Saccharomyces cerevisiae S288C: one gene and its partners. The gene in region 1 interacts genetically with each later gene. Each region holds a gene or a part of one and is shown in the gene's direction. Other genes may lie near its edges.

What was found.
Region 2: of SWE1 (region 1) and GIN4, a mutation in one rescues a mutant of the other (synthetic rescue), as found in Saccharomyces cerevisiae (4 studies listed by BioGRID, with this or other methods).
Region 3: mutations in SWE1 (region 1) and TPM1 together harm fitness more than expected from each alone (negative genetic interaction), as found in Saccharomyces cerevisiae (5 studies listed by BioGRID, with this or other methods).
Region 4: of SWE1 (region 1) and HSL1, a mutation in one rescues a mutant of the other (synthetic rescue), as found in Saccharomyces cerevisiae (6 studies listed by BioGRID, with this or other methods).

The regions. Positions count from the first base shown.
Region 1 is NC_001142.9:73,979-81,922, reverse strand, and holds SWE1 (tyrosine protein kinase SWE1), read left to right. Parts: upstream 1-2,660; coding exon 2,661-5,120; downstream 5,121-7,944. Other genes in the region: alpha-1,2-mannosyltransferase MNN5, read right to left, coding at 8-1,768; 60S ribosomal protein eL39 RPL39, read right to left, coding at 5,449-5,598, 5,985-5,990; 40S ribosomal protein uS8 RPS22A, read left to right, coding at 6,621-7,013; 40S ribosomal protein uS11 RPS14B, read right to left, coding at 7,312-7,718. UniProt on the Saccharomyces cerevisiae protein: Protein kinase that acts as a negative regulator of entry into mitosis (G2 to M transition) by phosphorylating and inhibiting the mitosis-promoting cyclin B-bound CDC28 at 'Tyr-19'.
Region 2 is NC_001136.10:1,458,585-1,467,520, reverse strand, and holds GIN4 (protein kinase GIN4), read left to right. Parts: upstream 1-1,734; coding exon 1,735-5,163; downstream 5,164-8,936. Other genes in the region: glutamine permease GNP1, read left to right, coding at 1-1,068; GMC1 (putative oxidoreductase), read left to right, coding at 5,967-7,793; PSP1 (Psp1p), read left to right, coding at 8,301-8,936. UniProt on the Saccharomyces cerevisiae protein: Serine/threonine-protein kinase which regulates the localization and the function of the septins during mitosis. Phosphorylates SHS1.
Region 3 is NC_001146.8:477,264-483,400, reverse strand, and holds TPM1 (tropomyosin TPM1), read left to right. Parts: upstream 1-4,235; coding exon 4,236-4,835; downstream 4,836-6,137. Other genes in the region: APJ1 (Apj1p), read right to left, coding at 424-2,010; NIS1 (Nis1p), read right to left, coding at 2,410-3,633; EOS1 (Eos1p), read left to right, coding at 5,369-6,137.
Region 4 is NC_001143.9:247,129-257,249, forward strand, and holds HSL1 (protein kinase HSL1), read left to right. Parts: upstream 1-1,791; coding exon 1,792-6,348; downstream 6,349-10,121. Other genes in the region: metalloaminopeptidase APE1, read right to left, coding at 1-554; YKL102C (uncharacterized protein), read right to left, coding at 934-1,239; YPF1 (aspartic endopeptidase), read right to left, coding at 6,569-8,332; rRNA-processing protein UTP11, read right to left, coding at 8,592-9,344; MTC2 (Mtc2p), read left to right, coding at 9,642-10,121.

The DNA.
Region 1 (7,944 bases):
CACTTCATTAGTTTTTCTCCCCCATAGCTTCTTTGTGTGTGCTCTCCAGATAATTAACATGATTGGTCAAATACTCACACATTGCATCCCATTCTGGGGTATTAACTTTATCGGTAAAATACTTGAATTTAATAACTTGGCTTTTCGGAGTGGTACAGAAGGACCCCCTCATATCATTGAATAAAAACAATTCAAAATCCATTCCATAGCGATGCGGCTTCCTGAAGCCCCGTACTTGTTCGCCATTTGGACCGATAAATCTGTTTTCATGATAAAGAGTCCATGGATCTGCCTTGTAGAAACTGGCATGAATGAACATGATATCCAAATCAGAACCGTCATCATTAACCATCAAAGTTTTCAAGAAACCATTGTCCAAAGTATAATCTGGATCCAGTTTGGAAAATTCCTCAATGTTGGCTTTAACTTTCTGCTGCGCCTTTTGGTATTGCTTGTAATCTTGTTCAAAATCATGCTGGAGCAAGGCGAGACCCTTGTAATCATCTTTTTGATAGAAGAAACCATCAAATTCAAAGTTAGTCCTCACTTGATAGTATGGCATATTCAAGGCATGGGCAGCAGCGACGAAAGTGTCTTTGTCACCTTCACCGGCAGTGCCTTGAGAAATCATCTTATAATACCAGGTAGGCCCATAAACATTATAGTATAGCGCCAGTAATAGAGTGTTGAAATGGCGAATCTTATCAATCACCATCTGGCCTGATTCAGAGCTCAAGTCTGGCATCGTGCCGTCCAGATCATGTAAGGGAACATGTTTCAGGAAATGCTCCTGTCTCTCCTTTGGAGTGTAATCGTTTGAGTTACTAACAAATGGATCATAACGTGACACGGGGGAAATATCGTCACTAACAAAACGGACTCTTTTGCCGATGTTAATGCTAGATCCTATAATGTTGTAAAAGGCGGGAGGGGTGACACGTCTCCAAAAATCGGGCCACAATATCAGGCCAGTATCGTTGAAGGATGTAGTGTTAAAAGCAAGGTCAAGGTTTTTCACCGCATAGTTATCTGCGTCCAAGAAGATAATACGCTTGAAACTGGAAATTATCAACCCAAAGACTTTCAACTGGAAGTGCGTGAGTTTTAAATCGCTTAATGGCTTTGAAGGAACGATATCTGAGAAATAAATGCACTTACCATTGAATTTCGGCAACCAGTTCTTACAAAAATCATCCTCGCCTTCGTCCTGAGGCGGAATGATGACTTCAATAGGCAATGTAGTACCCGTGTCCCTCAACTTTTTGATCATCGTATACGCGAGCACAGAATACTTTCCACCTCCAATGGTGACAATGCCCTCAGAACCTGAGAAAAGTGCCTCTCTTTGTGGGATGGAAAAATTCAGTTTCCCTGATAAGGTGTCTGTAAACTTACTGTGCACTTCTCGTAGGCTTTCTTGTACTGTTTTATTCAAATTATAGCATTTACTCAAGCTCTCGTAACTTAAGTCACTATCGTGTCCAGAGTCGTGTGCAGCAACGTTATTTGCAAAGCTACACCCTTCCGCCCCATGCAACTTACTCAAGTCCGGAGACGAATCTGCCGGCTTGTTTTCCACGATGGCTTGTACCAGTGTTGTGTAAAAATTGTTTTTAAGGTTCGACCTTGTTAGAACCGGCAATCTAAGCTTTTTACCGTATAACCAACTAGAAGACACATCATTATGCACAGAACAAAAAAATAAAATTAGCACTACTGCGCTCACGATGACCTGCAGGATTTTTCTCTTCTTTAACCTAATCAGCATTGTAACCTGAACTATTAGTATATCCTCTTGTTGTGCTAGGAACCAGTCGTAAAATAAAAATTTCCAATAACCGTGAAAATGCTTTTTTCATATCTGCGTATATATAAAACACTTTAAAGCCGTGTTGATCCTTTAGTTGTTACACTTTTTTTTCCCCGCCGATGAGAAAGTGAAAAAAAAAATCCGCAAGAACGGGGAAAAAGATAAAAGAAGGCACTTATCTCTCTGAACTCTGCACCGAAACATGCATCTGTCGTCTATTCCGACTTGGCAACCAAAAGAAGCCCAAGAGCTAGTTGCACTTAAATCAGTAGAATCGTGAGATTGTTTATTATCTTACTTCTGTTAGAGTGCTTCGCTTTCCATGCATCAAACTATGGATTTGTGCTGATCTTGCAACCATCGTCCTCTAAGGAAAGAAATGTGGCACCTTTAAATAGGTTCCACCTCACAGATGCCAACATGTGGGAGATAGGGGGCTATTCGCAATTTATTAACGTCTCTAGTACTGGTAAGCCTTTCTAACATTCTTGTGGTCACGTGATGTGTATGTTTCTTTTTTTTATTCCTCCGGGTGATAACGACGCGAAAAATATTTTTTCATTTTTCTTTTAACCATCACAATTTGCGACGCGACGCGAAAAAAATGCAGAGAAGTAAAAGAATGCTGGATAAGAAATCAACAACACAGTTGAACATTGGCGTGCCCCTGTGTATTAAGTAAAGGTTGTCCAAGAGGCTCTTTTTTGTATGTATGCGTGTGTTAACTATCCTGCACATCATCTTGCGCAGTTAGTCCAATAAAAAAAGGATTACTACTGAACAGGTCTTACTATTTTTGATTGCGTAGTGCTGGGGAAAAGTAAACACACACAGGCGCACACGAGAACAGATGAGTTCTTTGGACGAGGATGAAGAGGACTTCGAAATGCTGGACACGGAGAACCTCCAGTTTATGGGGAAGAAGATGTTTGGCAAACAGGCCGGCGAAGACGAGAGTGATGATTTTGCTATAGGGGGTAGCACCCCGACCAATAAACTGAAATTTTATCCATATTCGAACAACAAATTGACAAGAAGTACGGGGACCTTGAACCTGTCATTAAGTAATACAGCTTTGTCAGAGGCTAACTCCAAATTTCTTGGGAAAATTGAAGAAGAGGAAGAAGAGGAGGAAGAAGGCAAGGATGAGGAAAGCGTGGATTCTCGTATTAAAAGGTGGTCTCCGTTCCATGAAAATGAAAGTGTTACTACTCCTATTACAAAAAGATCTGCGGAAAAAACGAACAGTCCTATTTCTCTCAAACAATGGAACCAGCGATGGTTTCCGAAAAATGATGCTCGCACTGAAAATACATCCTCATCCTCTTCATATAGCGTCGCTAAACCTAACCAATCAGCCTTTACGTCTTCGGGCCTCGTATCTAAAATGTCTATGGACACTTCGTTATACCCTGCGAAATTGAGGATACCAGAAACACCAGTGAAAAAATCACCCTTAGTGGAGGGAAGAGACCATAAGCATGTCCACCTTTCGAGTTCGAAAAATGCATCGTCTTCTCTAAGTGTTTCCCCTTTAAATTTTGTTGAAGACAATAATTTACAAGAAGACCTTTTATTTTCAGATTCTCCGTCTTCGAAAGCTTTACCTTCCATCCATGTACCAACCATAGACTCATCCCCACTGAGCGAGGCAAAATATCATGCACATGATCGTCACAATAACCAGACAAACATCCTGTCTCCCACTAATAGCTTGGTTACCAACAGCTCTCCACAAACATTGCATTCTAACAAGTTCAAAAAAATCAAAAGAGCAAGGAATTCGGTTATTTTGAAAAATAGAGAGCTAACAAACAGTTTACAACAATTCAAAGATGATTTATACGGCACGGACGAGAATTTCCCACCTCCAATCATAATATCAAGTCATCATTCAACTAGAAAGAACCCTCAACCTTATCAATTTCGTGGACGCTATGACAATGACACTGACGAAGAGATCTCCACTCCAACAAGACGAAAATCTATTATTGGGGCAACATCTCAAACACATAGAGAAAGCAGACCATTGTCACTCTCCTCTGCCATCGTGACAAACACAACAAGTGCAGAGACGCATTCCATATCTTCCACCGATTCTTCGCCGTTAAATTCCAAAAGGCGTCTAATCTCTTCAAATAAGTTATCAGCAAATCCAGATTCCCATCTTTTCGAAAAATTTACGAATGTGCATTCCATTGGTAAAGGCCAGTTTTCCACGGTCTACCAGGTTACGTTTGCCCAAACAAACAAAAAGTATGCAATCAAAGCCATTAAACCAAACAAATATAATTCCTTGAAACGCATATTACTGGAAATTAAAATACTAAACGAGGTAACAAACCAAATTACAATGGATCAAGAAGGGAAGGAATACATCATCGATTACATCAGTTCCTGGAAGTTTCAAAATTCATACTATATTATGACAGAATTGTGCGAAAATGGTAATTTGGATGGATTTTTACAAGAGCAAGTTATCGCAAAGAAAAAAAGGTTGGAAGATTGGAGAATTTGGAAAATCATCGTGGAATTAAGCCTGGCTTTACGATTCATCCATGATTCTTGTCACATTGTGCATCTGGACTTGAAACCCGCAAACGTCATGATCACATTTGAAGGTAACCTAAAACTAGGTGACTTTGGAATGGCTACTCATTTACCGTTGGAGGATAAAAGTTTTGAAAATGAAGGTGACAGAGAATATATTGCACCAGAAATCATTTCTGATTGTACGTACGATTACAAGGCAGATATTTTTTCCCTGGGTCTGATGATTGTTGAAATTGCAGCGAACGTTGTGTTACCTGACAATGGCAACGCATGGCATAAGTTGAGATCGGGTGATTTATCGGATGCAGGAAGATTAAGTTCCACAGATATTCATTCTGAATCATTATTTTCAGACATTACGAAAGTAGATACAAATGATTTATTTGATTTTGAAAGAGACAATATCAGTGGTAATAGTAACAACGCTGGCACCTCCACTGTTCATAACAATAGTAATATCAACAACCCTAATATGAATAATGGCAACGATAATAATAATGTCAATACTGCCGCTACCAAGAATCGTCTTATTTTGCATAAAAGTTCTAAAATTCCCGCATGGGTACCGAAATTTCTTATTGATGGTGAATCACTTGAGAGAATAGTACGATGGATGATAGAGCCCAATTATGAGAGAAGGCCCACGGCAAATCAAATCTTACAAACTGAGGAATGCCTGTATGTAGAAATGACACGCAATGCAGGTGCTATTATCCAGGAAGACGACTTTGGACCTAAGCCAAAATTTTTTATATGATAAATGGAACAAAAAACCTTGTTTTATTTACATACTTTTTTCCCACACGTGCTTATGGGCCGCATTGTATAAATAATCCAATAACGAAAAAGAGTGTAATTGCAGTCCGGTAGTAATACCATGTAAAACCTTAGATGAGTTTATTTTAAGTACAGCCGCTTCAAGCATTTTTATTTTTATTTTACAGATGTAGCAGATAACAACCGTTAAATTATATTATATATATATATATATATATATCAAATACGACGTATTACATATATATTGAGAATAAGGGAAGGATGGAAGACAAATGACAAAAAGTTTGAAGCATAAATATGTTCTTCGCTTAGATGTTCATCTTGGTTCTTCTCCAGTTTCTTCTCTTAGCGTTGTAACGGATAGTGTTGTTGGTTCTCAATCTGATCCATTGTGGCAATGGTCTGTTTTGCTTCTTAGCCTTAGCCATTTTTTGCTTGATTCTGAAAGACTTTTGAGCCTAATTAAAAGGGAAACATATCGTGCACATACGAAGTGTACAATTGTAAAAAATGTTAGTAACAATGTTCAAACTCATCAATGTGATGCATTCACGGATCCAAGGCAATACCACCTGACATAAACCACGCTGGACCACCAAAAGTTCTCAGAATAAGCAGTTTATGACCATATTTTAATCTGCGTAGTGGCGACTTTAGATTTCTGTTTCGGATAAGAAAAATTTTAGTATGGTTAACACTCCTAATCCTTTCCCTATATTTTACACATTGCTTCTATTTCAAATCCAAATTGTAGGTGGTAAGGTCATTTAGATGGATGTGGTTTATAATTTGCTATTGATCAGTTCAGCATCTAACTGGGATTTATAATATCTTTCTAACATACAGCCATGTTGATCTATCTGTGTTTATTTGCTTGTCTTTTTCGAATTTTCAGTATAATATGAATGTACCAAAAATTGTAGAAAGTATATTAAGTAGAAGTTTTAAAGTATCTATCAAGGCGAAGAATAATTCTCGGTTCTCGACAGCCCAAAAGCCGAATTGCGTTAGTTAGCCCACGCGCGAGCGTAAACGCAAGGACCATTGAGCTTGGAACAGAAGGAGTCGCTTCGGCGTCCCCGCCAAGGCGTACTGTTTGCCTCGGCCTGCCGCGTGGTGGTGGTAGTTTGAGCCGGAGCCTAAAACGCCCATAAGTTTTTTGAAAATCAAGCTAAAAAATGAAAAAAAAAAAAAGTTAAATTGGTACTGTGCGCCCATACATCACATACTTAAAAGTGTGTAATTCCTCTATACATCCACACCTCACTATTTGAAAAACTCAAATATTGAGGACGCGCGATTACCAGCGGCATGTTTACTCGCTGGAAGATGTGAAATAATTCTTGAATATGGGTTTGCAGTTAGTCAATTTCAATCTAAATAATCTTAATCGACTATTCAATTCTTAAATTGTAAGGTTTTTTAATGGCCTTTCAGTTCTAGTATTTTTTATAAAACAAGACCAACATACATATCCAAGATGACCAGATCTTCCGTTTTAGCTGATGCTTTGAATGCCATTAACAACGCTGAAAAGACCGGTAAGCGTCAAGTTTTAATCAGACCATCCTCCAAGGTCATTATCAAGTTTTTGCAAGTTATGCAAAAGCACGGTTACATTGGTGAATTTGAATACATCGATGACCACAGATCTGGTAAGATTGTTGTTCAATTGAACGGTAGATTGAACAAGTGTGGTGTTATTTCCCCAAGATTCAACGTTAAGATTGGTGACATTGAAAAATGGACTGCCAACTTGTTGCCAGCCAGACAATTCGGTTACGTCATCTTGACCACCTCTGCTGGTATCATGGACCATGAAGAAGCCAGAAGAAAGCACGTTTCTGGTAAGATTTTGGGTTTCGTTTACTAAGCTACTTGTTACAACAACCTTTTCGGTAGCTTTATATACTATAATAAACACAAGATAGCCTCATAACTTTACTCATTTCTTATTATACATTTTTTTAGTTTTCCTGTTAAATACTAATATATTTGTACTTTAAAACTGTTCAAAAGATTAGACAGAAATGAATTTATCTGCCGCATTTCTGCATGCACGAAGTCGAATATGCAAATGTTTATATTGGCTTTATTAATTAAACAAACTATATTTATGTGAGAAGGTAAAGCCGTATTTCCATGCGTTAATAGAGTAAAAAAAAAAGAAATCATAATCTTCTACCTCTTCTACCACCCTTCTTTCTGGTGGAGTCTGATGGGACTGGAGTAACGTCTTCGATACGGCCAATCCTCAAACCAGATCTGGCCAAAGCTCTCAAAGCGGCTTGACCACCTGGTCCTGGGGTCTTGGTTCTGGTACCACCAGTAGCTCTGATCTTAACGTGAACGGCAGTGATACCGACTTCCTTACACTTAGCGGCAACATCTTGGGCAGCCAACATAGCAGCGTATGGAGATGATTCGTCTCTGTCGGCCTTGACTTTCATACCACCAGTAACTCTGGCGATAGTTTCCTTACCAGATAAATCGGTAACATGTACAAAGGTATCGTTAAAGGAGGCGTAGATTCTGGCAACACCAAAGACTTGAGAGTTATCGCGAGCTTGAACAAGGTCTATACATGATAAGAGGTATAGTTGTTAGTAAACAGAACTTCTGCTTTTTCGATTATTAAAAAATAAACGAATGAGTCACTATCTAACAACCATTTAGTTACAATCCTTTTAAGATAAACATTCTTTATTACAGATGATACAGTATTAAGGGTGAGCGCAGAGCCTCTATAACACAATAGCATTGAAGTGCTTTATTGCAGAAATTTTAACTCCGTATTACAGAAT
Region 2 (8,936 bases), on another chromosome or scaffold:
ATTATTGATTGTGGTGGTGCAGGTACCGATGGTTACATAGGTAGCAAATATTGGCGTGATCCCGGAGCCTTCCGTGGTGATACACCCATCCAGAGGTTCAAAGGTGTCGTTGCCACATTTGTCACAGCAGCGTTCGCCTTTGGTATGAGTGAACAGCTGGCTATGACTGCCAGTGAACAATCCAATCCAAGAAAGGCTATTCCATCGGCGGCAAAGAAAATGATTTATAGAATTCTGTTTGTGTTCTTGGCGTCTTTAACGTTAGTTGGTTTCCTTGTACCTTACACCTCAGATCAATTGCTAGGGGCCGCAGGTTCAGCCACTAAAGCGTCGCCCTACGTCATCGCTGTCTCCTCTCATGGTGTTCGTGTGGTTCCTCATTTCATAAACGCTGTCATCCTGTTGTCTGTTCTTTCCGTTGCTAACGGTGCCTTCTATACCAGTTCTCGTATTTTGATGTCGTTGGCCAAACAAGGTAATGCACCCAAATGTTTCGATTACATCGATAGGGAAGGTAGACCTGCTGCTGCTATGCTTGTCAGTGCATTATTTGGTGTCATTGCATTCTGTGCCTCATCTAAAAAGGAAGAGGACGTTTTCACCTGGTTGTTAGCAATCTCCGGTTTGTCTCAATTATTCACGTGGATTACCATTTGTTTGTCTCACATTAGGTTTAGAAGAGCTATGAAAGTGCAAGGAAGGTCCTTAGGAGAGGTTGGTTATAAATCTCAAGTCGGTGTCTGGGGGTCGGCTTACGCTGTCCTTATGATGGTGTTAGCTTTAATCGCCCAATTTTGGGTTGCCATTGCCCCAATTGGTGGAGGAGGTAAGTTAAGTGCCCAATCATTTTTTGAGAATTATTTGGCTATGCCAATCTGGATTGCTTTATACATCTTTTACAAAGTTTGGAAAAAAGATTGGAGTTTATTCATTCCCGCTGATAAAGTAGACTTAGTTTCTCATAGAAACATCTTTGATGAAGAATTATTAAAACAAGAAGATGAAGAATATAAAGAGAGATTAAGAAACGGACCATACTGGAAAAGAGTTCTTGATTTCTGGTGTTAAAGCAGAAATCACGATTCAAAAAAAAAAAAAAAAACTTGAAGAAACAATTCAATTAGCATATTATTTCAAATCCCAGCCTTCCTACACGCTCTTCCTGTTTTATCTCTTTCCTTTCATTCTCCCGTCCCCCTCATTCATGTATTTCTTATTTCATTATACTATTTAACTCTTTAAATATTCTATGTACTTTGTGCAAACATCATTGTCATCACATAAATGCATTCCTACTATTACTAACTTGAACTTCACTTCACTGGAAGAACTGGGTTATTCAAGGTAAAGAAATCATTTGTTTTGCGCCAAGTTTCGTCTGACAAGAATTTTTTATTATTATTTCCCACTTTTCATCGAAGGAAACGCGTCAAATCCATTCGTTACTACGCGCAATCTGCGTTATTTCCTTTTTCGGCATACCATCGCGAAATATCAACGGCCACACCATAGATTCCTTTTGATGTTAAATTAAAAGCGACTGAATGAAGTGCACACATTTTTTATTTCTTCTTGATTTTCTTTTCTATTTTGTTTTGCTTTCTCTTCTGTCGACAACGTCTCAACTGTACTCACCATTAGTATTCTCGAAGGCTTTAGCAGACTTGTGAATAATTAATTGCCCACTTTGATCAAGAAAGATATTCGCAGCACAATACAATAATAACATTCAAAATGGCAATCAATGGTAACAGTATTCCTGCCATAAAGGATAATACCATCGGTCCATGGAAACTAGGTGAAACTCTCGGTCTAGGGAGCACTGGTAAAGTCCAGCTTGCTCGTAATGGATCCACAGGACAAGAGGCGGCAGTTAAGGTAATATCAAAAGCAGTATTCAATACCGGTAATGTCAGCGGTACTTCGATTGTTGGCTCCACCACCCCAGATGCTCTACCATATGGTATAGAACGCGAAATAATCATTATGAAGTTGTTAAACCACCCAAATGTGTTACGTTTATATGATGTCTGGGAAACAAATACAGATTTATACCTTGTTTTAGAATACGCGGAGAAAGGTGAGTTGTTCAACTTATTGGTTGAGAGAGGTCCTCTGCCAGAGCATGAAGCTATCAGGTTTTTTAGACAAATTATTATTGGTGTGTCGTACTGTCATGCGTTGGGTATTGTCCATCGTGATCTAAAACCGGAAAATCTATTATTAGATCATAAATATAACATCAAGATTGCAGATTTTGGTATGGCTGCTTTGGAAACTGAAGGAAAGCTACTGGAGACGTCGTGCGGATCACCACATTATGCTGCACCAGAAATTGTATCTGGTATACCGTATCAAGGTTTCGCAAGTGATGTGTGGTCATGCGGTGTGATCCTATTCGCCCTTCTTACTGGTCGGTTACCCTTTGACGAGGAAGATGGAAATATAAGAACACTATTACTTAAAGTTCAAAAAGGTGAGTTCGAAATGCCTTCTGATGATGAAATTTCGCGTGAAGCTCAGGATTTGATTAGAAAAATCTTAACCGTTGATCCTGAAAGAAGAATCAAGACCAGAGATATACTCAAACATCCGCTATTACAAAAATATCCAAGTATAAGAGATTCTAAAAGTATTAGAGGCTTACCAAGAGAAGACACATATCTCACGCCATTATCAGAAAGTAATTCTTCTATTGACGCTACGATTTTGCAAAATTTAGTAATATTATGGCATGGAAGAGATCCTGAAGGAATTAAGGAAAAACTAAGAGAACCTGGCGCTAATGCAGAAAAGACATTATATGCACTACTGTATAGATTTAAGTGTGACACTCAAAAAGAGCTTATTAAGCAACAGCAAGTTAAGAAGAGGCAGTCAATTAGTAGCGTTTCTGTTTCCCCATCTAAAAAAGTATCGACAACTCCACAACGCAGAAGAAATAGAGAATCTTTAATTAGTGTAACATCTTCTCGTAAAAAGCCAATATCCTTCAACAAATTCACTGCCTCCAGTGCCTCCTCCAGCAATCTAACTACACCCGGTTCTTCAAAACGCCTTTCAAAAAACTTCTCTTCAAAGAAGAAATTATCTACAATCGTTAACCAATCTTCTCCAACACCAGCATCACGTAATAAAAGAGCTTCGGTTATAAATGTGGAAAAGAATCAAAAAAGAGCCTCTATCTTTTCTACTACCAAGAAGAACAAAAGATCTTCTAGATCTATCAAGAGAATGTCATTGATACCAAGCATGAAACGTGAATCGGTGACAACAAAATTAATGTCAACATATGCGAAATTGGCAGAGGATGACGATTGGGAATACATTGAGAAGGAAACAAAGAGAACGAGCTCAAATTTTGCAACTTTGATAGATGAAATTTTTGAGTACGAAAAGTACGAACAAATAAGGAAAGAGAAGGAAGAGCTAGAACGTAAAGTGAGAGAAGCAAAAGCACGTGAAGAGCTGGAACGTAGAAGACGTAAACAAGAAGAAAAAGAACGTGCAAGAAAATTACTAGAAAAGGAAGATCTGAAAAGAAAACAGGAGGAACTCAAGAAGCAAATTGAAATTGATATAAGTGATCTAGAGCAAGAGCTGTCCAAACACAAAGAGGAAAAACTGGATGGTAATATTAGATCTATCTCTGCTCCTATGGAAAATGAAGAGAAAAATATCAATCATTTGGAGGTTGATATTGACAATATTCTCCGTCGCCGCAACTTTTCTTTACAAACTAGACCTGTGTCAAGGCTTGATCCGGGTATAATGTTCTCCAGTCCAACTGAGGAAGTAAGTCCAGTGGAACCAAAGAGAACAGAAAATGAAAGACTTACAACAGAAAAGAAAATTTTAGAAACTATCAGAAGATCAAAATTCTTGGGTTCATCATTTAATATCGATAAAGAGTTGAAATTGTCTAAAATGGAATATCCAAGTATAATTGCACCACAAAGATTGTCAGAGGAGCGAGTGGTGTCAGATTCTAATGATGGATATGAATCTTTGATCCTCCCGAAGGATGGGAATGGCGTATCTCAATTAAAGGATAGTACCGCAACAACTGCTCCCGTCTCTGATGGTAGGTTGAGGAAGATCTCTGAAATTAGAGTACCACAATTTACTAGAAAATCAAGGCATTTTAGTGAGTCCAATAAAAGGCTATCTGTCCTGTCGATGTACTCTACCAAGGAGTCGTTTACCAACTTGGTTGATATTTTGAAAAACGGTAACCTTGATGTCAATAACCAACAAAGCCAAAGAATTCCAACACCAAGAAGTGCGGATGATTCAGAATTTCTTTTTGAAACTGTCAACGAAGAAGCTGAATATACAGGAAATAGTTCGAACGATGAGAGATTGTACGATGTCGGTGATTCCACTATCAAAGACAAATCCGCGTTAAAGCTGAACTTTGCAGATCGTTTTAATGGATCGAACGAAGCGAAACAAACTGATAACTTACATCTTCCGATCCTTCCTCCGCTTAATGGTGACAATGAATTGCGTAAACAGAATAGCCAAGAGGGTGACCAGGCACATCCAAAGATTAAATCGATGATACCAGAATCAGGCTCTTCTTCACATACTGAAAAGGAAGAAGAAAATGAGGAAAAGGAAGAGAAAAAGCCAGAACAACACAAACAAGAAGAGGATCAAGAAAAAAGAGAGAAAGTAGTAGATGATATGGAGCCACCATTGAACAAATCTGTGCAAAAAATTAGGGAAAAAAATGCTGGCTCGCAGGCAAAGGATCATTCAAAAGATCACTTAAAAGAGCATAAGCAGGATAAAAATACAGCAATTGGAAATGGTTCCTTCTTTAGAAAATTCTCAAAATCTTCGGACAAAACAATGGAATTGTATGCCAAGATTTCTGCAAAACAATTGTTTAATGGTTTAGAGAAGCTGTTGCGTGGTTGGACTCAGTATGGTTTAAAAAATATAAAATCGCACCCCAACAATCTGACCTTAACGGGTAAACTATCGAGTGATAATATATTCTCACTACGTTCAACACTCTTTGAGGTTAATATTTATCCGAGAGGTAAGATGAGCGTTGTGCAGTTCAAGAAAGTTTCTGGTTCATTCAAAGCTGTCAAAAAGTTGGTCAATGAAGTTGAGAACGTCCTGAATAAGGAAGGCGTTCTACAAAAATAGTGCTAATGTAATGCAATCATGTTTTGTCTCCTTCGTTTTGTTCTGCCATAATATTTCGCTCATATTATTTTTGCTTATTTTTTCCCCTCCGTATTAATACTTTAAATAACAATCTAATGGAGGTACTGGACTCTATGTACTATTATATTTACCCTTAAAATATCGTGTTGATTACTATTTGTATAACCGTTTGTTTTTCTAACTATATATGAAAGAAAAGTAGTTATAGTTATAGTAGTTGAAGATTTAAAAGCTATTTGCCCTCTTTGGGATTAAAGTAAGAGCTAAACATAAATTATGTAACAGTTTAATTTTCCGAACATTAATTGTTGTTAAAGGCTTTAATATCAAGTATACTGAATATGCTAGAAGTTCCACTCAAGCATATAAGAATATCTGCCTAAATTATTATTTATCACTACAACTTGGCTACAAATTATGAACAATGAGGCCGACAAGAAGTTACTCTCTTAAAAAATGGGATATGATATATACAAACATATGATACAAAAATTTCAACAAATAAGTGGTTGTTTGGCCGAGCGGTCTAAGGCGCCTGATTCAAGAAAAAATCTTGACCGCAGTGAACTGTGGGAATACTCAGGTATCGTAAGATGCAAGAGTTCGAATCTCTTAGCAACCAATATTTTTTAGTTTACATTTTTTTCGGGGATAGTCATAGAGGATCCACCTTCATCTCAGCTGTCCACATTAAGGCCAAAGCTAATAAAGTGGCACATACTGGGCGGTTAAACAAAGTTATTAAGTAATTATTGCAAAACTCCGTGGACAACTTGTTTAGAATGAAGGTCATTCTCCTTAAGCCGGTTCAGTTGCCAATGCTACTCTTAATACTATTAAAATTTATTATGGCCGCTAAGGAAGGCAAAATACATGTCTTAGAATTCAATGCGAGCAGTGAATACACGCTTGATAAGAGAAGAGTTATCTCCATAAATGGCTACAGCGCTACATTTGGCCCAGAAATTCGAGTTAAATCCGGTGACACTCTTAACTTGAAATTGACTAACTGGATATGTTCAGAAGAAGAAGCTAGTAAAGACAGTGATGTTTGGAAGGATTACTGTTCAACAGCTTTACATTTTCATGGGGTGGTACCTTTAGCAAATGAATTTGATGGAATTCCAGGTTTAACACAGCCCACTATTGGATATGGAGAAAGTTATTGGTATAATTTTACCATTGATCAATCAACCTGTGGTACTTTTTGGTACCATTCGCATTCATCAGTACAATACGGTGACGGTATGAGAGGTGTTCTGATAGTTGAATGCGATGATTATGATAATCATGTGGCAAATACTATTAATTCTGTGAGAGACATAGAGACACTAGATGACGGTGTTGTTACAATGAAAAAAGATAAACACACGAAGGAATTGACGGATTATGAAGTTCAAGAAAGGATTATCACTTTGAGTGATTGGTATACCAATTGGAATTTGGACATTTTAAACGACAAGGTTTTGTCATCTACCGGGGGTACAGATCCCAAATTTGATGGATCATTAATAAATGGAAAATCATCTGACGGTGAAACTATCAAAATAGGATTTAACACCGAGTATCTTCTTTTGAGAATCGTAAACTCAGGAATGTCTGGTACTCAAGTCTTTCACCTTGATGGATTCCAATTAATTGTTCTAGAAGCCGACGGGATTATGATTAAACCGTTCATTGTACAAACGATAAATTTAGCGGTCGGACAAAGATATACAATTTTGGTCAAACTAAAGTCTGACACTAGTTTTATTCGTATGATTAATGGCTGTAACAAAATGATGGGTTATATAACAAAACAGTGGTGGTTTTACAAAGAAGGCGCTCATTTGGACCTACCAAAGAACCCCAATGACGTTTCCATCGAACACTTGCCTGGTTTCACTAAGGCCGAGCTTTATCGCGACATAGAACCAACGCAAGAAGAGAATAAAAAGTTACGCACAAAGGCTGATCCTGTTGCAGTTTTCGAATTCGATTATGCTTATTACAAAGATGAAAGCACGAAACAAAAGTATGGGACTGGGATGTATAAGGTGAACGAACGGACATTCAGCGAGTACGTAAAAGACCCGGTAAGGTTCGGATTCAACGAAACATATGATATTGTAATCAACTCACTGGACCACATGAGACACCCATGGCATATGCATGGCCATCACTTCCAGATAATATCTCTTGGCAATAAAGGTGATGGCCCATTTCACAAAGACGTACAAGAGGGCAAGGCATGGAGCCGCTATCAGAACGATTTACGTCACCTGGCCCGAACCGGAAAGGCACCGATGGTAAGGGATAGCATTAACATTGCAGGAAATTCTTACGCGGTTTTGAGAATTAACACCGAGATGCCCGGAAAATGGCTTTTACATTGTCATGTGGAGTGGCACATGATGAAGGGGCTTGGCATTGTCTTTGAGGTTCCGACAACAACCGAGGACAGTACCAAACAAGCAACTACAGCTGTATTATCGTACCCTACCAAGGAACCTGACCCTAACACTGTTGTCCATACAGCCGCACTTGAACAAAATAAGTCCAAGGTAATAGCCGTCTACATCCTAATCATGTGTGCGGTTGATGCTATCTTCTACTGGTTGCTCATGTAATCACATCCATTTCTCCCAACTCATTGCTTTTTTTCGCTTTTCCCACAGCCGTTTACAAGGCCGCAAAAAAGAAAACCCGCAAAGCTGACGGAAAAAGTATCGGCTAGCTTTCCATTGGCGACAATCGCCTCCGAGTGCGAAAACCTGTATTTCTCTGACTGCCGTAGGTCATATAGGATTGGGTCATAACGGTTTTTTGGAGACGAATCCTTCCCCTAATCGTGTTGGATAACATTACGGATCCGTGTTTTAGCTAAAGGAACAAAACAAAAATAAATAAAGGATAAGAAGAAGGATTCACTGATAATTAAGAGCTGTATTTTTCATTGGTTCGGCAGTTAGAAACAGAGATAGCATCAGTTCGAGTGTTCTTTGATATAGTAAACAGCGTATATAGAAAAGAATAAAGTGTATTGAAAGGCTCAAGAGAATTATAGAGAAAAAAACGAAGGATAAATCAAAAAAAGCGGTGTCTGATACAGTGCTCAATAGAAATACAGTTGCAAAATGGACCTCCCAACTGTTAATAGCACAACAAGCATTTCCGACAATGTGGATTTAAAGAACTACTATGAGGACTTGCTTTTCAAGAATAACAGCGGAAAATCGCTATCCGATTTACCCCGTAAACTGAATGATAACTCCAATAATTCAGGAAGTGATACGGTTGATCCGCTTGCTGGCCTGAATAATTTGAGAAACTCAATAAAAAGTGCGGGAAATGGTATGGAAAACAGGAGGACTTTTGACGATATTGATTTTATGGGTAGGTTTCCGTATTTGCCACCAGTGCCAAATCAACAACAGCAACCGTTTTCTCACCAGAACGGGTTCATTCAAGAACACCCTTCCAGTAATTTGACCTCTTTTCAAATGTCTTCGTCTAATTCAGAGCCGATGTCCGCACCGCCCATTTCATCCAATAACAATAATTTAAACTCTACTCAAATGGGTAATTATCAAGCTCAACAACGGTCGTTCCCGCAATTTAATGGAAATTCATTTCATTCAAATGGAAACGACCTAATGGGGAATCGGATGGATTCAGACTACATGCGTTTAATGAATAAAACAAACATAGGTTTTACTTCCAATAGCGGCAGCAATTTTGCTGCCCCATCACACAGTGCTGGCAACCCATCT
Region 3 (6,137 bases), on another chromosome or scaffold:
ATTCAAATAAAAAGCAAAAAGGAAAGAAAATGAACACTTGGGTTAAAGATCCCTACTGCTGAAACCAAAACGATATTTTGATGAACTTAGAAATATGATCAGTGGTGAACTTCCCTTGCTTCTCTGTAACAACGGCATGCACATTCTAATCGGTTTTTTTTTTTGCTTTTCTGTTAAGTAACCTCCCACGATCTCTTGGCAGGCACTAAGAAAAAGATGAATAACAATGTATTACACGCTAAAAAAACTGCTAAAGGACTAGGGCTGCAATGATATTACCACCCAAACCGCGGTAAACCATCCACAGGAAGAATAGCGTATCTTTCCGCATTGCTTAAAAAAAGGAATGTCCTTATAGATAGAGTACTGATACAAAAAATAAAAATAGAAAATGTATAACATTACTGCATGACTATATAACCTTCAATATCCATTAATATCATGGTCATAAAAACCGCTTACCGGTGAAGAATATTTATTTCGTTTCGTTTCATTATTATTATTAATATTACTTTCGTCGAATCGACGGTTGTTCCTTTTCCGAGAATCTCTTTCATTAATCAAATCACCAAGGTCGTCGTCTTCAATAACTTCATTGTTTAAATTAGGGGCCTCAAAGCTACTTAACACATGCTCTTCCACACTGTCATATGACTTCTCCAAATCGCAATAGCAGTCTGAATCTGCGGTTTCCATGGTGGAACGTTCTGCTTTAATGTATTTATCATTAGCCAGAATATTTTGTATTTTCTTAGCATTTTCAGGTTCCAGTCTCTCTGGATACGTCACATCGAATTTGACATATAGATGACCGAAACCGCTCCGAACACCGTTGATAAACTTGGGCATCCCCATGTCCTCAACAGTCTTGAAACAACCAGGCTTCAGTATCTCGCCAGGTATAATATCAAGTTTGATCAACTTACCGCTAGGGTGCCCTTCAATATAAACTACGCCTCCACATAAACTGGTCATGAAGTCGATTTTGCACTTCTTACATATCAAATTGGAGTAGTTGATAACCTGGAAATTCGGATCTTTTAAACGTAAAATGGTGATAACGACGTCACCAGGTATTACCTTTTCGTGACCGCCTCCCTTAGTACTAATAACTTCGTCACCTTCGCCCGTAAGTACTATAAGTTGGTTATGACACGATCCCGGTTGAACGGTGACTTGTAGAATCTTCCTCTCCTTAATGAAGCCAAGACCTTGGCACTGTTGGCAAATATCTTTATTTTTGACAAAAACCCCGGCACCCCCGCAATCTGCACAAGTTTGAGACCAACTTTGTACTAGAGGTCCCATACGCCTAGTTTGGGTTTGAATACCTTGCCCTTTGCATGTTTTACAAGTGCATTTCTTTAGACCACCGTGCCCATCACAAACACTGCAAATCCTTGTCCTATTCAAACCCAACTTTGCAGTCTTACCCATGTAGAGTTCCTTCAATGTGCACTTTAGATTATGTTTGATATCAGGGCCTCTATCCAAATGATGGTCCTCATCGTTGGAGTTGTATTTTGCTGACGAGGAGTACAGATTGTTCACGCCACTGCCATTAACAAAGGAGAAGCTCGGCGTAGAGCTATTATTGAAGCTAAAATTAAAACTGCTTTTGGAGCCATTAGAAGAGGGGGTAGCAGAACTATTAAAAAACTGCGCGAAAAGATCACCTGGAGATAGATCCGGGAATGACATTGCTTCCGTATCGAAATTTGAGGATGAACTGAACGGCCCGGCTTGTTGGCGTTGCGCCTGCGCCTGCTGCTCTTGAATCAGGACTTCATCTGTGGTACCGTACTGGTCATACAAAGCTCTTAAACGATTGTCTTTAAGTATTTCGTATGCCTGGCATATCTCTTGAAACTTTCGCTTGGATTCTTCTGTATGATTGTTTTTATCAGGATGATATTTTAATGCAGCGTTCCTGTAAGCTTTCTTAATCTCAGATGTGGATGCAGCGGCAGTAACGTTCAAAGAGTCATATAAAGACGTGTTTTGTTGCATTCTCCGTTATCTTGTGTCCACTGGTAGCAAAAGAAAAATGTGTTTTACTTTATCGTAGGTACAGTACGGCTCGTGTTGTTTAGAGAAATAATCACTGTATCGTGAGGTTGGTTTATTACCGATATAAACTGTTTGATGAATGTTGAATACTATTATAATCTATTCCTATCAGTATATAAAAGCGTTCAAACGATTTCACATACTTGTGGGAACGAAGAACGCGTCATTACCTTTTTAGTCTACAGATTCGATGCTCCAGTCATTTTTTTCCTTTATTTTCCGTAATGTTCTAGAAGAAATCGAGCGGGGGAAAAAGATACATAGAAGGATAATGTGATTAAATAAAGTTTGATGTCTAAGGCTATGCAATGGCTATGCAATCCAGGGGGGGTTACCTACTTAAAAGGGGTCGCTACTAAGTATACTATCGTCTTGACTGTCGGGTATAATTATAGGATTGCTTTTGGTCTCACCTGCCATCTGGAAGAGACTTGAAGGAGTAGATAAAAGGGACATGTCTAAGTCGCTGGCGTTAGAAGAGCAGACAGAGCTTTCATTCGATGCTGAACCCGGAGAGCAAAGCAAAGTCAGGCGCAGTTGCGTCCTCTGTGTTATAACCAGCATTAAGTATTCTCTCCACAGTTCCAACAGCAGTTGCTCCTTTCTTGCATGCGATTTGGTGTTCAATTTTCCTCTTCTTTTTGGGTGGTACAACACACTAGGGGAAGTATTGGACCGCCCCACATTCTTGTTATAAACAGATCTTGTGGTTGGGGTCGTTGAATTCTGTTTAATTGTTTTCGTCGCCGTCGCAGGCATAGTCGTCGGGAGACTACCTGGTTGTGATTTGGGTAGTTTCCTACTTATGGAGCGGTTCCTTAGATACGGTGGACGACTACTGGTTGCATACATCTGGCTTCTTAAAAATGGGATAGGAGTTACCGCAGGGTCCCTGCTAGTGAGATTTCTGATAGCGTGTAAGTTTACCGGTTGCGAAGCCAGGACATTTGCAATATCCATTTGTTCCAGTTCTATATAGTTCAAAACGGATGTCAGCTCCTTCTTGCTCCTGAATCTTGACCGTACCTTTGCTTGCCTGTCTTCCCTGCGTATGGAGTGTTGCCTCTTCAAAAACCCTTTGTGAAAAATGAAATTATGATTCTTGCTGAACTTGGAGAGTTCATTTTTGCTGGTAAAGTCTGTTCTTCGTTGTGAAGTGTGTCGAATTGGCTTTGCGTTTATGGTAGGAGAGCGAGACCTCATCTTATAATTCGACCATTGCGTAAACTGTTCCATCACTTCAGTGCTTTCAACCTGGTCCGCTTTGCTTATGTTACGGTTCCTCAAGTGCGAAGCATCGTGGTACTCCATATATGGTTTGAAGCTGTCGTGTGTTATATGAGAGTCATCCGATATTTGCACTATAGGAATCTTGGTATCTGAATTTGAATTTGTGTTCGAATTTGTGTTCGAATTTGTGTTCGAGTTCGAGTTCGAGTTCGATGTAGAATCCACAAGCGCATGTATATAACCTGAAGTGGTAAACCCACCGGTACCCAGGGGAGGTGGGAACAAAGTCGGGGGATAAGACTGAGTCCCAATGCTAGTCTCGTATGTCTCCATTGTCTGTATGGTTGTATTTCAAGACGTATCTGCAAGAAAACTGATGTTTGCGAGTTAGGAACAGGGAAAAATACATGAATTAAGAAATACGAACGATCTTAACTATTTTCAACAGTACCTGAAACATGGATGTAAAAACGTAGAAGATACCCGAATAAAGTGGGGCGCACACCGGACTTGAAACCACTCCTCCTTTACCAAGCACTAATTTAAGCTAATCTAATTTAACGCAGTACATTTTGTATGCGCGGCAGCAGCTTAATACATTGCTGTCATTCACTAATGGAAAAAAAAAAAAAAAAAAAAAATCAAAATATAAAAATAAATATTAAGAACTTAAAAAGACAAACCAGCCATCGCGTGGCGCTAGCACATATATCTTACCCGACGGAGAGCCGGGTAAAGAAGTCGGGTAACCATTAAAATAAAAAATCAGCACACCATAGCACGATCTACGAGAAACGGAAAAGTGTTAGAGATCACATACTGCATACTTGGCAAGAAGAAGGTTCGTTTTTCCCTTCTGATACTGTAAAAGATTAGGTTGGTAGAAGAAATCTACATAGTAGAACTCACACCCCATACACACAAAAAAGGCAACAATGGACAAAATCAGAGAAAAGCTAAGCAACTTGAAGTTGGAAGCCGAATCATGGCAGGAGAAGTACGAGGAGTTGAAAGAGAAGAACAAGGACTTGGAGCAAGAGAACGTCGAAAAGGAGAATCAGATCAAGTCTTTAACCGTCAAAAACCAGCAATTGGAGGATGAGATCGAGAAGCTGGAAGCGGGACTTTCTGACTCTAAGCAAACAGAACAGGATAACGTTGAAAAAGAAAATCAGATCAAGTCCTTGACGGTGAAGAACCACCAATTGGAGGAAGAGATCGAGAAGTTGGAAGCAGAATTGGCTGAATCCAAGCAATTGTCCGAGGACTCTCACCACTTGCAGTCCAACAACGACAATTTCTCCAAGAAGAACCAGCAATTGGAAGAAGACTTGGAGGAAAGCGACACCAAGCTAAAGGAAACCACTGAGAAATTGAGAGAGTCCGACTTGAAGGCAGATCAATTGGAAAGAAGAGTAGCTGCCTTGGAAGAACAAAGAGAAGAATGGGAAAGAAAGAACGAGGAATTGACCGTCAAGTACGAAGACGCAAAGAAGGAACTGGACGAAATTGCTGCATCTCTGGAAAACTTGTGATCTACTTTTGTTTTTTGTTTTCTTTTTCTTTTCCCCAACACGCTGGTCTTTGTTCCTTGTTCTTGAGCAAATCAAACGCTCATGGGCAAACGAAACTAAAATAAGAACCATTTATACAAATACAATAGCTTAGACTATACATCTGTATACTTTTCCCTTGAAGATGTTTTTGTTCTTTACCGTTTGCGTGCTGATTTATGATGTTTTTACATTGGGCGTTATTACCCGAGCGGCGTTTTGTTCGTGGGACTCACACTTGTGCCTGCTCCCATGTTAAGTTTTGCACGGTTTATCACATGGACAAAGGCATTCTCATATTACACAGCTACATGTGATATATATCGGGCGTTTCCACGTGTACAAGAACCTGAAAAGTTTATCGGAAGACTAAGTTTTGGGTTGCCCACCGTCTGTGCATCTACGTGAACACACCAGGGTTTCTCATTTCTTTTTTCTTTAAGTTTTTTTTCTCTTCCCTTCCCTTCCTTTGGTCAAATAATCTTATTTGATTCTTCAGGGTTTTAAAAAACCAGATGACGTGGATACTAAGTACTGGTATGGGCCCTCATGAGGACAAGTATGCCAAGCATGAGCGAGCGACCTTTAAAAAGACGTACAGTTCTATGAAAACGCTGTCTTTGAATCATTTAACTGCCAAGCAGCATATGCTGATGGCCTTATGCAGGGACATATCCCTTTTACCGCCGTTAACTTACATCTTCACATCTCTGCGGAAGGCTTGGAGAGTCTCCATGCGCACCAGCATAACGCTTTACGAGCCACAATCACTAAGAGATGCGTTCACTTATTTCTGGCAAAAACTCAATAGCGCTTACGACAATAACTCATCATTTGAAGGAGCTTCGCAAAAGGCTGTGAATGGCGACGGTAAGGATTCACTCCTATTATCCGCACTCACTACAGCAAGAGCGTCTGAATATCTCCTTTGCTCACTTTGGTGCCTGGTGTCTTTATACCTCTCGTATGCCATTCTCGACTCTTTGATGGTCCGATGGATCGTCAAGTACTCTACTGTGGCCGCCATTTTAAGAATGTTTTCCATGTCATTGATCATTGTCACCTTAGAACTCCTTCTTTTGTCGTCTTTGTCTCCGGAACTCGACTATTTTTTGCATACATGGATACTCATTAGTTGTGTACTAACAGCAGTGTACATTTGGCAAAGTTATCTTACCTCGGATCTGAGGTATATCAGGAACCAGGAAGGCGAAGTACAAGAGGATACTAATGTTCCAGAAGAAACAGAAGACTATGAGGATGGTGAAGATGACGCTGATGAAG
Region 4 (10,121 bases), on another chromosome or scaffold:
CCCTTCTTCTTGTAAAGAAGGCGACCACCAATACCTAGGTCTCTGTCTAGCCACAATTCATTCAGTGTACCTCCATAGGGAGCAACAGCAATTCTTCCGTAACCTTCCGCTGTGTCTTTAAAGGAGACGGGCTTCAATTTGACCGTCAAAGCGTCCACATGAGATCCAATGACACCGACACCCTTTTCGGCTCTCCAGTTTTTGCCCAGGATAAAGGCAGATAGGTTAGTTCCATTTCTTATAGTGTAGAATTTCCCACCATCTTCGCCAATGGAGTCCTGCCAATTGGATTTCTCGCTCAAGTATTTGAAGTTATGCTTATCTAACAGCTCCGCGAAAAATGATACTACATGGTAAGTGGTAGGGTTCTTGTAAATGAAATCAATGAATTCCTGTGCAATATCCTCATAATTGTGCTCGAGGATGCACCACGAATTTTCATTTTCTTTCTTTTCCTTTTCTTCGTTGGCGATTTGGTTATTTTTAGATGGCTCTACAGTTAGCATCTGCAGAGTTTTCTTCAATTGTTCCAGTATTTCACGTTGTTCCTCCATTCTTTTTTTCTTAATTTTGTTGGTTGTGCAGGTTTCTACAATTGCACTAAGATTACTGATCAGGCTCTATACAGTGTATGTCTTGTTCTGTGAAGTCAACTGCTTATAAATGAATTTTTATTATCTAATGGAACGATTAAGGGGTGTGTCAACTATTTCACTTAACCCTATTCTTTCTTACTGTCGTTTGCTTGCATAGCCTATCTTACAGTAATAGAGGTGCAAAACAGCATCACCCCTAGTTGTTTTTCCCGAAAAACCTATCCCAGATTATTTTTTTTTTGAATTAGACAAGAAATCATCCGAAGACCTATTATGCTTCTGATTAAACCTTGAGAAAAACGGAAGTTTGCAACCTATACCCTAAAGTAGAAGCTGACTAATTCATATTCCTCACGAAATGGTGCGACCTCTCTTTATCCATGAGAAAAGGAAGGAGTGGGTTCTTGTTTGATGCTTCTTTATCTGATACCAACAAGCGCAAGAGATAAGGGATTACAATGTTATCATGCCTCAGAAAGTAATAGGATGACATTTTCTTGCAAACGTTGACATTAAAAACATAAAGTACCTTACGGCGTTCGGAGCCTACAAGCCTGCCACAATTTGAGCCGCTGCACAAGAGAACACCGAATGAACAACTGGCTGCAGCTGTCGATGAAACCTCAGCGAATAAAGCACACATTTGTGCGTTTTACAATAACAGGGAAGGTGGAATGTGTTGCCTTCGTCCTTATTTTTCGCGTTGTGAAATATTTTTACTAATTTTTCTTTTCGCGTGGTCATTTTCGCGTTGGGTTGTTTGGGCTAAATAGTGAAAACTAATCTCCATCACGTACCGTACCGTCTTGTACCGGCTGGGAGCAGCATTATAGTGGCCACTCTTATTGGCGTTCTTAATATAAGCAAGTTACCTTTTGCTCGAAACCTGTTTCTTCTTAAAACTCCCTTTGGATCGTAAGTTCGCTAGTTATCCGACTGCAAGGACGTAAATTGGACAGCGAGAGGCCATTAAAACAGAGAGTTGAACTCAAATAGATCATCAAATAGGTTGGATATCCATCATACTACTTGCTACTAATCGCGAAAAGAGATAAATAATAAAATTACAAGAAAGACAAGGTAAAAAGAACGACATAGATTTGCGGGACAAAAAATACTGATAAATAAATCAACAACCAACTATATTCACTCCTTTATTATTTGTTATTAATATTTTTTATTTTTACCACACGACATGACTGGTCACGTTTCAAAAACGAGCCACGTACCCAAAGGTCGCCCGTCTTCATTGGCCAAGAAGGCAGCTAAAAGGGCCATGGCCAAAGTAAATTCGAATCCAAAAAGGGCGTCGGGGCATTTGGAGCGTGTTGTACAATCTGTGAACGACGCTACCAAAAGATTATCTCAGCCCGACTCTACCGTAAGTGTTGCTACAAAATCATCAAAGAGAAAATCCAGAGACACGGTGGGTCCTTGGAAACTTGGCAAAACATTGGGGAAGGGATCTTCTGGTAGGGTTCGCTTGGCTAAAAATATGGAAACAGGACAATTAGCTGCCATTAAAATTGTCCCCAAGAAGAAAGCCTTTGTTCATTGTTCTAATAATGGAACTGTTCCTAATTCTTACTCTTCTTCCATGGTCACTTCCAATGTATCTTCTCCATCAATAGCATCTAGAGAACATAGTAACCATTCTCAAACGAACCCATATGGCATAGAGAGAGAAATAGTAATCATGAAATTGATATCTCACACAAACGTTATGGCATTGTTTGAAGTTTGGGAGAACAAATCAGAGCTGTACCTAGTTTTGGAATATGTTGATGGTGGCGAATTATTCGATTATCTGGTCTCGAAGGGAAAGCTACCTGAAAGGGAGGCTATCCATTACTTCAAGCAGATAGTTGAAGGTGTTTCCTATTGTCATTCTTTTAATATATGCCATCGTGATCTGAAGCCTGAAAATTTATTATTAGATAAAAAGAATAGGAGAATCAAAATTGCTGATTTCGGCATGGCAGCATTAGAGCTTCCTAATAAACTTTTAAAAACTTCATGTGGCTCTCCACACTATGCGTCTCCTGAAATTGTTATGGGTAGACCATATCATGGCGGTCCTAGCGATGTCTGGTCCTGCGGTATCGTTTTATTTGCATTACTCACCGGTCATTTACCATTTAATGATGACAACATCAAAAAGCTGTTGTTGAAAGTTCAATCGGGCAAATATCAAATGCCCTCAAATTTATCTTCTGAGGCTCGTGATTTGATATCAAAAATATTGGTAATTGATCCAGAAAAAAGAATTACCACTCAAGAGATATTGAAGCATCCTCTGATCAAAAAATATGATGATCTCCCAGTTAATAAAGTGCTGAGGAAAATGAGAAAGGATAACATGGCGAGGGGAAAATCTAACTCGGATTTGCATTTGCTAAATAATGTCTCGCCCTCTATTGTAACTTTACATTCAAAAGGGGAAATTGATGAATCCATCTTGAGGAGTTTGCAAATTTTGTGGCATGGAGTTTCTCGTGAACTAATCACTGCCAAGTTGCTTCAAAAGCCAATGTCGGAGGAAAAACTATTCTACTCACTGTTATTACAATATAAACAACGTCACTCAATATCATTGTCCTCGTCAAGCGAAAACAAGAAATCAGCAACAGAAAGTAGCGTAAATGAACCTAGGATTGAATACGCATCCAAAACTGCCAATAATACAGGCCTAAGGAGCGAGAACAATGATGTGAAGACTTTACATTCTCTAGAAATTCATTCAGAAGATACTTCAACAGTGAATCAGAACAACGCAATTACAGGGGTTAATACAGAAATTAATGCCCCTGTATTGGCACAAAAATCGCAATTTAGTATCAATACGCTCAGTCAACCTGAAAGTGATAAGGCTGAAGCAGAAGCTGTAACATTACCACCCGCTATTCCCATATTCAATGCTTCTTCATCAAGGATTTTCCGTAACTCATACACCTCTATTTCATCACGTTCGAGAAGATCGCTACGCTTATCGAATTCCAGATTATCATTGTCCGCTTCAACTTCTAGAGAAACTGTGCATGATAATGAGATGCCTCTACCTCAACTGCCGAAGTCGCCTTCAAGATATTCATTGTCAAGAAGGGCAATCCACGCCTCCCCATCTACTAAATCAATACATAAATCACTTTCGAGGAAGAATATAGCTGCAACTGTTGCCGCTAGAAGAACACTACAAAACTCGGCTTCAAAGAGATCCTTATACTCATTACAGTCAATTTCAAAACGTTCCTTGAACCTGAATGATTTATTAGTCTTTGACGATCCTCTCCCTAGTAAGAAACCAGCATCCGAAAATGTGAATAAATCAGAACCCCATTCGTTGGAATCAGACTCTGATTTTGAGATCTTATGCGATCAGATCTTATTTGGAAACGCCTTAGATAGGATACTCGAAGAGGAAGAGGACAATGAAAAAGAACGCGACACCCAAAGACAGAGGCAAAACGATACAAAATCTTCGGCAGACACTTTTACGATCTCTGGGGTGTCTACAAATAAGGAAAATGAGGGCCCGGAGTATCCAACCAAAATTGAGAAAAATCAATTCAATATGTCATATAAACCATCTGAGAATATGTCAGGGCTCTCTTCATTTCCTATCTTTGAAAAAGAAAACACGTTAAGCTCAAGTTATTTGGAAGAACAGAAGCCAAAGAGAGCGGCCCTTTCAGATATCACGAACTCATTCAATAAAATGAATAAACAGGAAGGTATGAGGATAGAAAAAAAGATTCAAAGAGAACAACTTCAAAAAAAAAATGACCGCCCGTCACCACTCAAACCTATTCAGCACCAAGAACTTCGTGTAAATTCTTTGCCTAATGATCAAGGTAAACCGTCCTTATCTCTAGATCCCCGCCGTAACATCTCCCAGCCAGTGAATTCAAAAGTGGAATCACTATTGCAGGGACTGAAATTCAAAAAGGAGCCAGCCTCTCACTGGACCCATGAGAGAGGTTCCTTGTTCATGAGTGAACATGTGGAAGACGAAAAACCAGTCAAAGCCTCAGATGTTTCAATCGAAAGTTCATATGTACCTTTAACAACAGTAGCAACATCTTCGAGAGATCCCAGTGTTTTAGCAGAATCTAGTACAATTCAAAAACCAATGCTGTCTTTACCTTCTAGTTTTTTGAACACATCTATGACGTTCAAAAATCTTAGCCAGATACTCGCTGATGACGGTGATGATAAGCATCTAAGTGTGCCACAGAACCAATCTAGAAGTGTAGCCATGTCACACCCTTTGCGAAAACAATCTGCCAAAATATCTCTAACTCCACGGTCTAATTTGAACGCCAATTTATCCGTTAAACGTAATCAGGGCTCACCTGGCTCCTATTTGAGTAATGATCTGGATGGAATCTCTGATATGACATTTGCGATGGAAATACCAACAAACACCTTTACCGCTCAGGCGATTCAACTGATGAACAACGACACGGACAATAATAAAATCAATACTTCGCCCAAAGCATCTTCTTTTACAAAAGAAAAAGTAATCAAATCGGCAGCCTATATCTCGAAGGAAAAAGAACCAGATAATAGCGATACTAATTATATTCCAGATTATACTATACCAAACACATATGATGAAAAAGCCATTAATATTTTTGAAGATGCGCCCTCCGATGAGGGTTCATTAAATACATCTTCTTCAGAAAGCGATTCACGAGCAAGTGTGCATAGGAAAGCGGTATCTATTGACACTATGGCGACAACAAACGTTCTTACTCCCGCGACAAATGTTAGAGTAAGTCTTTATTGGAATAATAACAGTTCTGGTATACCCAGAGAGACTACTGAAGAGATACTTTCTAAACTTAGATTGTCACCAGAAAATCCTTCTAATACACATATGCAAAAGAGGTTTTCTTCCACGCGTGGTAGTCGTGATAGTAATGCATTAGGCATTTCTCAAAGTTTACAGTCAATGTTCAAAGATTTGGAGGAAGATCAAGATGGGCATACTTCTCAAGCTGATATTCTTGAATCAAGTATGAGCTATTCAAAGCGAAGACCATCTGAGGAAAGCGTTAATCCAAAACAACGAGTGACAATGCTTTTCGATGAGGAGGAGGAAGAATCTAAAAAAGTAGGTGGGGGAAAAATTAAAGAAGAGCATACCAAGCTAGACAATAAAATATCCGAGGAATCTTCTCAACTTGTGTTGCCGGTGGTTGAAAAAAAGGAAAATGCAAATAATACAGAAAATAACTACTCTAAAATACCAAAACCCTCAACGATTAAAGTTACGAAGGATACCGCTATGGAATCAAATACACAAACCCATACAAAAAAGCCAATTCTAAAAAGTGTCCAAAATGTTGAAGTTGAAGAAGCGCCTTCCAGTGATAAAAAGAATTGGTTCGTCAAACTATTTCAAAACTTTTCTTCTCATAATAATGCTACTAAGGCATCCAAGAATCATGTAACGAATATATCATTTGATGATGCGCATATGCTAACATTAAATGAATTCAACAAGAATAGTATCGACTATCAATTAAAGAACCTAGATCACAAATTTGGGAGAAAGGTGGTGGAATACGATTGTAAATTTGTAAAAGGCAACTTCAAATTCAAAATCAAGATTACTAGCACACCCAATGCATCTACGGTAATTACTGTAAAAAAAAGAAGCAAACATTCAAACACAAGTTCCAATAAAGCCTTTGAAAAGTTTAATGATGATGTGGAGAGAGTAATTCGAAATGCCGGACGTTCATAAATTCTATATAGATGTTATATAATTATACAACAATAATTTGAAAAATTTAACGTACGAGAACCGAATGGACAGGCGTGAGAAAACATAGTTTAAAAGAACATTAATAAATGGAGAGACATGAGACACGAAGGAAAGAAAGAGGGTTTTACAAACATTGTCCTAGATTAGAAGATAAATACAACCCTGGAGGGGTAAAAAGAGCTGTCGTTTCTTTTGGAGCTCAAGAAGATTCGTCATCCAAGAGATCTTCTTCAGAAAGCTCTTCCTCAGAGCTGTCACTGAGATCTTCCTCTTGCACGAATTCTTCATCATCGTCAAAATTTTCGTTTACATCATCACCAAGCAAGGCATACTTGTCGGCATCATTATAGTATTCTGATAGGATGAAGGTCGAATAAGTTATAGAGTTCTCCTTTTTTTCTATCGCTTTTTTTAAACTTTTATCCACTTCAATCGTATCATACTGAAAATTCCAAAACTGCTTAAAATCCTTGTTCCAGCAAGCTACCAAAATAGTACTAATCAACAAGGAAGGAACAATGTATAATAAAGCCGGTTGAGCAGTATTGAAAATGGACAAGGAGACCATGGCAGATACCAAAGAAGCAACGTAACTAACCATAGCAGTAATAAAATATTTTCCAACGTATGACCAGTTCAAAAAGTGGAATTCAGTGTCATCATGATCAAGGTGCCACTTCCAGATGTCATATTTGTAGCACATCGCAATAAACATACCAGGCAAGGCAATATCACCCAGACCAAGTATTGAAAAATTGAAGTTGTTTTGAGCTGTATTAAACTTGACTGGTAAGCTTAGTTTTACGGGAATATCAAGGTTAGTAGCTACTGTAACCATTACATCGGTACCAAAGACAAAGCAAATGTCGTAAAAAAATAGAGCAATTAGGATTAGGGCCCCTGATTTTAAATTCTTCAATTTTAATTGAGCAATGGACCAAATAGCCATATTCATACTGACAGCATTGGATATTAACCAATCATTGGGTGATAAATAGAAATATACGGTAGAAACGATGGACAGAACGAACGAAACAATTAATGCGCTATTCAAATACATGTTGCTGATCTGCCTCTTCGATTTAATATCCTTCGGTTCAACTAATTCTCTTCTGTAAAAATGCTTCATCCAATGATCTTTTTCAATCTCATCCAATGTTTTCTTGTGAACAACTGAGTTGGTCAATCCATCTTTGTAATTCAAATTGGTAACAAACCCGCCTATCTTGTTCAGGTCTTCGTTATCATCAGCTATTGTTACACGATACCTTGGTAAAACAACCAGGGGATTCCAAGAAGCTAAATGTGATAGGTTTCTGAAAAGTGAGTTGAGAAAGTAGGAGTAGACAAATGTGCCAGCTGGGATATTTAGCAGTGTTATATTAAAATTCAAAATTTTCACCACATATTTTAGCCAGTTTAGGTGTAGTTTCTTGATCACAAAATAGAGAGCGAGTAAAGTACAGCCACTAGTTAAGGGCAGTATAATCGCATGTTTTTCATCCATCATATCGAAAAACCTCTTGCTTTTCTTCTTTTTCTTTTTATCTTCGTCATTCTCGCGGTAGATAACATGACAGTCGTGGTCCACATCAAAATCTGTAGGATCAAACAATGAGTGTTCTCTCGTAGGAGGTAGAGCTGTAAATGGAATAGAAGAAATAGACGTAAATGAGCCAATAACGACCAAAGCACTTGCGATGAGAACTAAAGTGGCGTAGTTGAATACTAAAGAATGGCTTTCCACCAAGTGTGTAATCTTGTGAGCAACGCGATATGATATCTTATCAAAGGCAGTGGTTAATTTGTTATTGTGGTTTTCAACTATAGCATTGATCTGTTCAAAAACTTGTTCTAATTCCTTGTTCGACGCACTTTGGTTAGCGCTTGATGAATTGTTCCTAAAGGCACGAGATGACCACTCTGAAAGGTGGTCAACAAATGAATTCAAATACTTGTCCATCGTGTATGAGTTTGTTCCCCATTATAGATCTGTAGTATTGCTCAAAAAGGGAGCACTTTACAAATCTTGTCCTAAATACTCCCATTCGGAGAGGGGTTCTTTTTTTTCCGGTGCCTCAAAATCCTTTTTTTTTTGATGGCGCAAAAGACACTTAAGAAAAGTGAATACTTTTTATAAACGTAATCCTATAAAACATGAAAAGAAGGATTACGGAACGTCTGCCTGATTCACTTATATATACTATATAGATGGTAAAAATCTAACGTTTCCGTTGTTTCTTCCATTTAAATGAAATTTTTCCTGAAGAGTCTACGATTTTTTTCTTGGAACCCTTCTTCAACAATTCTCTTTGAGCATCCATTCTTTGTTGGACCTGTTTCAATTGAGTTTCCCTCTGTAAGTGCTGCTTGACTTGCTTGAACTTTTTCAATTTCTTTTTGTCTAATGATTCCTTTGGCATTATTGATGAAGCGTTCCTATTGTTTGAAATATCTTGGGCTAATTGGTCCTTAGTTAATCTATTTTCAGATCTATTCACCATCTCGGAGGTGGTATTGAAAAACTTCTCTGGGGTGAATTCGTTCATCTTCTCTCGGGAATCGACGAATATTGTATGATTCCCACTGCTTTTGAACATCAACTGTTTCGCTCCTTTCTCCAGCTTTTTCAGCTCTATTTGCCTCAGCGTCCTCACATAATTACTATCTTGCGTTTTGAGTAATTTAACTTGATCCATGGAAAGCGATTCGTCTTCTTCGTCACCGTGACGTGAGCTGATCAGCAGTCCTTTTGCATCTGTCTTCCTTGAATGCATAGCATGGTAGTATTCATCTGGATTTCTCTCTTTTGCTTTTTCTCTGAGGACTTTCAAAGTGGACTGCTTCCTGTGGAAGTCTTGAGCACGTTTCACATAGTCTTTATGCTTTTCTAAAAACCCATATCTGGAACGGCTAGTTAGCTGAGAACGTTCTCTATGCTGCTTTTTCTGAACATCATGTACAAGTTTAGCCATATCTTTTGTCTGTTGTTGGCTGTAACGAACTAGAAAACCCCACTAGTATTATTCGATGATATGCAACTTGCTCTTATTGTAGTTTCTTAGCATTGTTTTCTTTACTCTTTTTCTTCAAATCGCGATGAGCTCATCTAGCCATAAAAAAATTTCATCTTTTACGTGCATAACGACAAACCTTTAAGCCTTAGAGGACTTGGTGATGTGCTCCTTTATAACAACGATTACTTCCATTGAACAGCAACACCTGCAAAATCGGAGCTGCAAAATTATTGATTGGATGTGGCAAAAATAGGAATGGGCGATCATAATCTGCCGGATTTTCAGACATGTTTGAAGTTTTCTGTTACAGCTAAAAAGAGCTTTCTATGTATGTATAGAGACAGCGTCTCAAAGGAAAAATTAGCCTCTTCGATGCCAAGTACTTGTGATATACAACTGAAGAGGGCAATCAATGACGCTTATCCGGGCGGAGGAATAAAGGTCACGGTTCTGAACTCAACAACTGCAAGCTTGGACTCGTTAGCAACTACACATGTTAAGGAATTTGAGATTGTTATCATTCCAGACATAAATTCTCTTTTACAGCCAGACCAAGCGAAATTAGTAAAAATTATGAGAGATTGCACAGTGGCGATTGAGAAGGCACAGTCAACACGTATATTTATAGGAGTGGTTCATTGGAATAATCCCGTGCAGCCTTCAGGCGCCGCTAAGGATGGGGATGAAGCAGGTAAACCAGCTCCCAAAACTCGCATCTTCCTGCCCACGTCTTTC